Macaca fascicularis: one gene and its partner. Each later gene encodes a partner of the first gene's protein in a complex. Links are inferred from orthologs where the notes say so. Each region holds a gene or a part of one and is shown in the gene's direction. Other genes may lie near its edges.

Region 1 (4,561 bases):
TGGGACTACAGCATGCATGACCACACCCAGGTGGTTTTAAATTTTTTTTGTAGAGATCGGGCCTCACTATGTTCCCCAGGCTGTAAAACATTAAATTTTTTACAGGTTATTTGGAGGCTATTGATTCGGCACAATATTTATTTCTGTAGGTACATGTATTTCTTTCTGTATGTTTATATTTATTCCAGAATCATGCTGAAGGTTGTTTATGCCTTTGCTATCTTCTTTTTCAGGTTTTTCTTTCCTTTTTAAAAACAAATATTGCCTATTCTTCAAGTGAACTTTCATAACAATTTTCTTTTTTTTCTTTTTTTTTTTTTAATTTTGAGATCGAGTCTTGGTCTGTTGCCCAGGCTGGAGTGCAGTGGTGCAATCTCAGCTCACTACAACCTCCACCTCCCAGGTTCAAGAGATTCTCCTGCCTCAGCTTCCCAAGTAGCTGGGATTACAGGCACCTGCCACCTTGCCCAGATAACTGTATTTTTAGTAGAGACGGAGTTTCAACATGTTGGCTAAGCTGGTCTCGAACTCCTGACCTCAAGTGATCTGCCTGCATTGGCCTCCCAAAGTGATGGGATTATAGCCATGAACCACTGTGCCTGGCCTCTCATAATAATTTTCTTGAACTAAAATTTGGGATTAGACCAGGCATGGTGGCTCACACCTATAATCTCAAGCACTTTAGGAGGCCAAGGCAGAAGGGCTGTTTGAGCCCAGGAGTTCAAGACCAGCCTGGGGGATGTAGCCAGACCCCACCTCTACCAAAAAATCAAAAATCAGCTGGGCATGGTGACATGTGCCTGTTGTCCCAGCTACTCAGGAGGCTGAGGTGGGAGGATTGCTTAAGCCTGGGAAGTTGAGGCTGCAGTGAGCTCTGATGACACCACTGCACTCCAGCCTGGGCTACAAAGCGAGACTGTTGTTAAAAATGAATGAGTTAATTTAAAAAATAGAGATTGGAGAATTTTAGTTAAATAAATAAAATTAAAAAATAAAATTAGAGATTAGAGGACTTTAGTTAAGTGTATTAAATTGTAAAGTATTCCATTTTTCCATCCACAAAGTGCTATATTTTCTCATTGAAGTTTTTCAAGTCTCCCGATACAATTTTCTTGAAATAGGTAACATTTATTAAGCTTGTTCTTAGGTGTGTTAGAATTTTGTGGAGAAGTGTCATTTCTGATTGTGTTTTCTAATTCCTTACTATTAGTATGTAGGAATGCTGTATACTTGTATATGTTATTTTTCTTGATAGGTGAGATTATAAAATTACCACACAAAAACTGTAAAAATAGAAAAGGCATATACCTTATTCAATAATGTTCAAAACATTCAGAAAAGGTTTGGGTCAATATGAAAGGCTACACAGAAAATAATGTGATTGTAATTCAGTGTTTACATAGGTGTTAGTTACACATTTAAACTCTTGTCACCAATGCATTCTCATCTAATTTTTCCCATAATGAAAGAGAAGGAGACGCATTGGTGACTGCAATAGGGCCACCTCCCTCAAATTACGTTGCTCTCTATGACCCATCCTCAGTCTCCCAGTTCAAGCTAATCATTGACAGAGCTTTACAATCACAAGCTTTTACTGAAGCTTTGATAAGACAGTCCAGCAGTTGGTGGCAAATGAAGCCAGGCTGTGCGGCAGGATCTCCAGGGAATGAATGGATTTTCTTCAGCACTGATGAAATAACCATACGCTATAGGAATACAATGTCCAACGGGGGACTGCAAAGATCTGTCATCCTGTCAGCACTTACTCTGCTACGAGCTGTTACTGGATTCTCTGGAGATGGAAGAGCTGTATGGTCTAAAAATCCTAATTTTACTCCGGTAAATGAAAGTCAGCTGTTTCTCTATGACACTTTCCCTAAAAACTTTTTCTGGGGTGTTGGGACTGGAGCATTGCAAGTGGAAGGGAGTTGGAAGAAGGATGGAAAAGGACCTTCTATATGGGATCATTTCGTCCACACACACCTTAAAAATGTCAGCAGCACGAATGGTTCCAGTGACAGTTACATTTTTCTGGAAAAAGACTTATCAGCCCTGGATTTTATAGGAGTTTCTTTTTATCAATTTTCAATTTCCTGGCCAAGGCTTTTCCCCGATGGAATAGTAACAGTTGCCAACGCAAAAGGTCTCCAGTACTACAATACTCTTCTGGACTCTCTAGTGCTTAGAAACATCGAACCTATAGTTACTTTATACCACTGGGATTTGCCTTTGGCCCTACAGGAAAAATATGGGGGGTGGAAAAATGATACCATAATAGATATCTTCAATGACTATGCCACATACTGTTTCCAGACGTTTGGGGACCGTGTCAAATATTGGATTACAATTCACAACCCATATCTAGTGGCTTGGCATGGGTATGGGACAGGTATGCATGCCCCTGGAGAGAAGGGAAATTTAGCAGCTGTCTACACTGTGGGACACAACTTGATCAAGGTACTGTACAGCTCGCTTCTTATTATAGCTTCAGAAAACACTAACAATTTACCTTCTGCCTCAGTAATTCTCTTATTGAAATCAAGGCAACTGATTTCAGGCTATTCACAAGATCTATCCTCAAATTTTGTATTTAAGTTAGTGTATGTTTTATTTAGCTAAGCTATTTTTAATGTATTAATCCAATCAGTTTTTTTCAAAAGTCGCACTTTGAGGCTATTTTTAAATCTACCATCATACACTACAGTATGAAAATATGAGCTTACTTTCATTCTGTGGGAAAACAGTGCTTCATAAATTTAATTGTTGGAACCCTTTTCTGACAACGTGCAATTGTTTCAGAATTATGTTAAGGCACAACCATTTCAACTATGTATTTGTTGTTAAGGATAGCTAACTTAGCTAATAAGTAAATAAAGTAAGTAAATAAGTAAGTTAAATAAATGTTAGCTAACTCATGCATATTAAATACAGAAATTTAAATGTACTTCACATTTGATTTTATTTGTGTTACATAGCAAAAAAGAGAGGGTTAATTGTTATGGGAGCTAAACACATTTCTTCCCATAAGAACTGGGAAGAATGTGCTCTACTAAAGCAATTTTCAAGCAGTGTATTTCAAAAGCTAGAGATTATGTTGAGAAATGTTAACATTAGTAAAACAATAGTGAAAATGCAAGCAAAATCATAGGTAATATTTACTGAGTACTTATTATGCACCACAGACTACATTAAGTATTTTACATGCATCGTCACAGTTGATCCTCTTATCCTCTTAACAGCCTTATGAACTAGTCTTCTTATTCTTCCCATTTAAAAGATGAGGAAACTGAAGCTTAATGAGATTAAATAATTTTCCCAAGGTTAAGGAGTAAAATACAGCTGTTATGGACATGGATTTTTTAAATGACAACATAATTAACACTAACTGTCTTCATTAAGAATGTTTTGAAAAGAAGACTCAGGAATTTTCAAGAGTTTTAAAATTAAGAAAAATAAGTTATTCTGCACACCTGTTACATTTTAAAAATGAAAAAACTTTTATCAATTTTATAATGTGCTACAAAAAGTAATTTAATTATTAATAATCAAAAGCTAAGTATACAGAAATTTTAAAAAAGAGCAACATAAAATAATTCCATGTCTGAATTTGTACATACAAAAATATCTGCTATCACTTCTTTTCTTTTTGAACTTTTCTGGATTATTACACATGTGCATTGTACTATGGTTTCAGACACATCTGCCCTTGAAGTAAACAGATTGCATTATGATTTAAAGGTCATTTGTACATTTTTGACTAGAATTGTATATAGAACATATTAATGTGTGGGTATACTATGATTTGACAAAATAAGGCCTTAAAGGGGAGAAATTGTATAAGTATTTAAAAGTTCTCAAGATTATGCATGCAAAAGTTAGAAAAATATTCCTTTCATTTAGTCCTTTTAATTTTTTTTTGTTTTTTTGGTTTTTTTTGAGACAAAGTCTCATTCTGTCACCCAGGCTGGAGTACAATGGCGTGCTCTCGGCTCACTGCAACCTCCACCTCCCAGGTTCAAGCAGTTCTCCTGCCTCAGCCACCTGAGTAACTGGGACTACAGACACGTGCCACCTTGCCCAGTTAATTTTTGTGTTTTTAGTAGAGAGGGGTTTCACTATGTTGGCCAAGCTGGTCTCAAACTCCGGATCTCATGATCCACCCGCCTCGGCCTCCCAAAGTGCTGGGATTACAGGTGTGAACCTCAGCCAGTCCTTTTAATTATTAAAACAATTCATGCTCATGTACATTTAAAAATATCAGATTGGGCGGGGCGCAGTGCCTCATGCCTGTAATCCCAGCACTTTGGGAGGCCGAGGTGGGTGGATCACGAGGTCAGGAGTTCGCGAGACCAGCCTGGCCAACATAGTGAAACCCCCTCTCTACTAAAAACACAAAAATTAACTAGGCATGGTGGCACGTGCCTGTAGTCCTGGTTATTGGGGAGGCTGAGGCAGGAGAATCCCTTGAACCCAGGAGGCAGAGGTTGCAGTGAGCCGAGATCACGCCACTGCACTCCAGCCTGGGTGAGAGTGAGACTCTGTCTCAAAAAAATAAGTAAAT
Region 2 (4,235 bases), on another chromosome or scaffold:
TCATGGAGCGGCCCCTATTTCTTTCCTCACCTGGCACATGCCCGGAAGCCAGGGGCGCCCATCACCGTTCCTTGGCCCCTTCCCGACCCCTCCCCACCAGGTAAGGCGCTCTCGACCTCCCCGACCGTGCTGTTCCCCCTGACCCCGTGCGCAGAGACTCGGGGACTGAAGGACCAGACCCCCGACACAAGACAGCTCAAAAACCGGGAAACGGAGGCCCAGGCCTCCCTCCCTGCGCCTCTGCCTCCATCACCCTCCAGCCGAGAAGCTGGGGTTCACCAATCCCGCAGCTGGCCCGCACCCCCTGCCCGAGAGCCTTCTTCCCAGTGCCCCCTTTCAGGTAGCATCTCGGGCACAGCCGCGGGGCCGGGGCGAGCGCGGAGCAGGCAGGGGCGCGCGGCCAGGAGCGCAAAGCCGAGGCCGACGCCGAGGCTGCGGCGCCACCTACAGTCCGCGCGGCTCCCATTGTTTCCCGGCCCGCAGAGAGCGCGCCCGGCCCCCCGTCGGGGGGCAATTTACCCGGATAAAAGGGGCGGGGCAGGAATTGCAAGAAGATGAAGCTGGGAGAACCTGAGACGGTCGGAACTGCGGGGGGAAATTCTATTGGACGGCTTTGACGTCAGATGTGCTGGGCTGGGAAAGTCGGGGGAGGGAGTGCGAGTGGCCTTTTAAGGGGAAGGACCCTAAGGCCGAGGTGAGGCTTTTACCGACTAGAGGGTGAAGGAGGCAAAACTCGGTGCCCCCAAACCTCTGACCCCGGGGTTCCTGACCCCGCCCCTGCTGGTGCCCCATGCCGAGAGCATCCACTGGGAGCCCGACGCCTGGGGGAGGGGCCCCAGTTGTCGATTGCTTTGCAAAGTCAAACTCTCCCAGCCAAGAACCTCGGGGCCGCTGCGCGGTGGGGAGGAGTTCCCCGAAACCCGGCCGCTAAACGAGGCCTCCTCCTCCCGCAGATCCGAACGGCCTGGGCGGGGTCACCCCGGCTGGGACAAGAAGCCGCCGCCTGCCTGCCCGGGCCCGGGGAGGGGGCTGGGGCCGGAGGCGGGGTGTGAGTGGGTGTGTGCGGGGGGCGGAGGCTTGATGCAATCCCGATAAGAAATGCTCGGGTGTCTTGGGCACCTACCCGCGGGGCCCGTAAGGCGCTACTATATAAGGTTGCCGGCCCGGAGCCGCCGCGCCGTCGGAGCAGGAGCGCTGCGTCCAGGATCGAGGGCCACGGCCATCCCAATCCGGCACTCACAGCCCCGCAGCGCATCCCGGTCGCCGCCCAGCCTCCCGCACCCCCATCGCCGGAACTGCGCCGAGAGCCCCAGGGAGGTGCCATGAGGAGCGGGTGTGTGGTGGTCCACGCCTGGATCCTGGCCAGCCTCTGGCTGGCCGTGGCCGGGCGTCCCCTCGCCTTCTCGGACGCGGGGCCCCACGTGCACTACGGCTGGGGCGACCCCATCCGCCTGCGGCACCTGTACACCTCCGGCCCCCATGGGCTCTCCAGCTGCTTCCTGCGCATCCGCACCGACGGCGTCGTGGACTGCGCGCGGGGCCAAAGCGCGCACAGTGAGTGCCAGCCAGGTCCCCCGCCCGCCCCGCCCCGCGCATCCCACCCCAGCGCCCTTCCTTCCTTTGCCACCCTTAGGCTCCTGCGGACCCCTCAACTCCTGGGAACCCCAGGTTTTGGCACTTGGGCGTTAGGATCCCTCCCTTAGTCCCCAAACGGCGCGGGACGCTAGGGAGAGGCACAGGCTCGTGGACCGACCGCACCCACGTGGTGCGAGCCCCGGGGGTCCCGGCTGCAGCTTCTCGCTTTCCCTGCGCCCAGGTTTGCTGGAGATCAAGGCAGTAGCTCTGCGGACCGTGGCCATCAAGGGCGTGCACAGCGTGCGGTACCTCTGCATGGGCGCCGACGGCAAGATGCAGGGGCTGGTAAGTGTCCCCACGGGGCGGATGCGCCGGGGCGGGGAACCAACGCCTGTCCCCGGGCGGAGGCCGGAAGGAGAAAAAGGCGCTGGTTCGAATCCAGGGTTTTCTCGCCTCCTCCGACCAGACCCGTGTGCAACTTTGAGGGAGATTGCAAAGACCGATTAAGTGCATGTCCGACGATTTTCTACTGAAATTTAGGGTCTCAGCCAGTAGCCAGAGAATAGGCAAAAGCTGCCTTTGCATTTGCAATTGAGTCAAAGGCCGGCCCAGCCGGACCGAGGAAACCCATTATTCGGCCTCCTTTGATATTAAACAGGAAAACCCACCTCGGGCCTTTTCAGCCTCTGCCTGCGCGTGTGTGGTCCTCGCCTCCGTTTCCCTCCCTCCAGTATAAAAAGAAGAAAAAAAGAACAGGAAAGAAAAAAGAGGGTCTACCCATAACTTTCCTTTAAAAAACAAATCAATTGTCCAGCAAGGCAGAAAACAGTGCATTTGGGATAGGCGAGTTTTTTTAGAATTAATTTTTAATCTACCAGGAGCACGATGTGGCTTAGACGCAGATGCGCTGGAGTCAAGTTGCGCCAGAGGCGTGCTTTTCCTCCTGCGGGCCTCACCTGTCCTGTAAACGCTTTCTGGTGGGGGCAGGGGGTGGCGGCTGGCTGGGAAGGCCCAGGTAACCGCAGAGGTCCCGGGGCCGGAAGTGTACGAGCGCTGGGGCTCTGGTGGCCCTGGAACAAAGGCTGGGAGTTCAAAGGAACGAACCCGCGCCCCTCCCGCGGCCCCGCGCGCAGAGGAGGCTGTGTGAGGTCTCGGCCCGCGCAGGCCTCACACGCAGCCCCGGACTCCCTGGCGGAGCAGGGGCCAGGGCGGGGGTGGCCGCGCCTGCCCGGGGCCCCCACCCCAGAAAGGATGCAGAGGCGGGGCCGCCTCCAGCACAACCAGCTCCTTTGTGAACAGCGGGACAAAGCATTTTAAGAGTCTCAAAATTGCTCGGTGCTTCTGTCGTGCTCCGTGTACTCAGAGCGCCTGTTTCAGGTTTTATGGCGGAGTCCTGCGTGAGAGGACTGCAGGGAAACGGGGTGGTCGGCACGCTGGACGCTGACTCCCACCCAGAGCCGCTCCAAACCCACCCTTGCAACTTTAATTTTGACATATATGATGGTGGGGGGAGTGCTTCTAATGATGGGAGGCCAGCAGGGGACATCAACCTAACCCGCCATTCTGCCCAAATTGGGGGTTGGGTCACCTGAAATCCCTTTGTGCCTTTTTTTTCTTTTTTTCTTTTTGGCAGAGTCTTGCTCTGTCCCACAGGCTGGAATGCAGTGACCCGATCTCGGCTCACTGCAACCTGTGCCTCCCGGGTTCAAGCGTTTCTCCTGCCTCAGTCTCCCATGGAGCTGGGATTACAGGTGCCCACCACCACGCCCAGCTAATTTTTGTATTTTTAGTAGAGATGGAGTTTCACCTTGTTGTCCAGGCTGGTCTCGAACTCCCAACCTCAAGTGATCCGCCCATCTCGGCCTCCCAAAGTGCTGGGATTACAGGTGTGAGCCACCGGGCCCAGCCCCCTTTGTGCCTCTTGATCCCCTGTGCATGGTCTAACACAGATTGAGGATCTTTCTCTCTCTTTCTCTTTCCTTCCTTCCTTCCTTCCTTCCTTCCTTCCTTCCTTCCTTCCTTCCTGCCTGCCTGCCTTCCTTCCTTCCTTCCCTCCCTCCCTCCCTCCCTCCCTCCCTCCCTCCCTCCCTCCCTCCTTCCTTCCTTCCTTCCTTCCTTCCTTCCTTCCTTCCTTCCTTCCTTCCTTCCTTCCTTCCTTCCTTTCTCTCTCTCTCTCTTTCCTTTCTCTCTCTCTTCCTTTCTTTCTTTTTTGAGACGGAGTCTCGCTCGCTCTGTCACCCAGGCTGGAGTGCAGTGGCATGATCTCGGCTCACTGCGACCTCCACCTGTGGGGTTCAAGCAATTCTTCTGCCTCAGCCTCCCAAGTAGCTGGGACTACAGGCGTCGTGCCACCATGCCCAGCTAGTTTTTTTGTATTTTTAGTGGAGATGGGGTTTCACCATCCTGGCCAGGCTGGTCTCGAACTCCTGACCTCATGATCTGCCTGCCTTGGCCTCCCAAAGTGCTGGGATTACAGGCGTGAGCCACCTCGCCTGGCCTCTTTCTTTCTTAAATAAAGATTCCACATTCTTCTAGAAACTTGAAGTCATTTCATCTTCTGTATGGGGAATGTAATACTTATTTCTCCCAAAGGACAAGCCGAGTAAATAGAAGGAGGTCCTCCAGTTATTCGGTTTTGTGTTCCTTGTTTATTTATCATT

The links.
Region 2: the proteins of KLB (region 1) and FGF19 are in contact, whole or in part, in a crystal structure (PDB 6NFJ), measured with the Homo sapiens proteins. The link is inferred for Macaca fascicularis from reciprocal best matches to the Homo sapiens genes KLB and FGF19. Residues at the interface, in NP_783864.1 of Homo sapiens: Phe379, Lys380, Val392, Leu394, Trp419, Phe420, Thr421, Asp422, Val425, Thr431, Tyr434, Met435, Asn438, Tyr643, Glu693, Arg696, His743, Asn824, Phe826, Met832, Gln848, Phe849, Leu850, Gln851, Ile853, Leu862, Phe931, Phe942; in NP_005108.1 of Homo sapiens: Leu192, Thr194, Asp195, Ser196, Met197, Pro199, Phe200, Leu202, Val203, Thr204, Ser211, Pro212, Ser213.

What each region holds. Positions count from the first base shown.
Region 1 is NC_088379.1:38,694,068-38,698,628, forward strand, and holds the start of KLB (beta-klotho), read left to right. Parts: upstream 1-1,541; 5' UTR 1,542-1,632; coding exon 1,633-2,457; intron 2,458-4,561.
Region 2 is NC_088388.1:4,954,083-4,958,317, forward strand, and holds the start of FGF19 (fibroblast growth factor 19), read left to right. Parts: upstream 1-1,176; 5' UTR 1,177-1,322; coding exon 1,323-1,554; intron 1,555-1,816; coding exon 1,817-1,920; intron 1,921-4,235. UniProt on the Homo sapiens protein: Involved in the suppression of bile acid biosynthesis through down-regulation of CYP7A1 expression, following positive regulation of the JNK and ERK1/2 cascades. Stimulates glucose uptake in adipocytes. Activity requires the presence of KLB and FGFR4.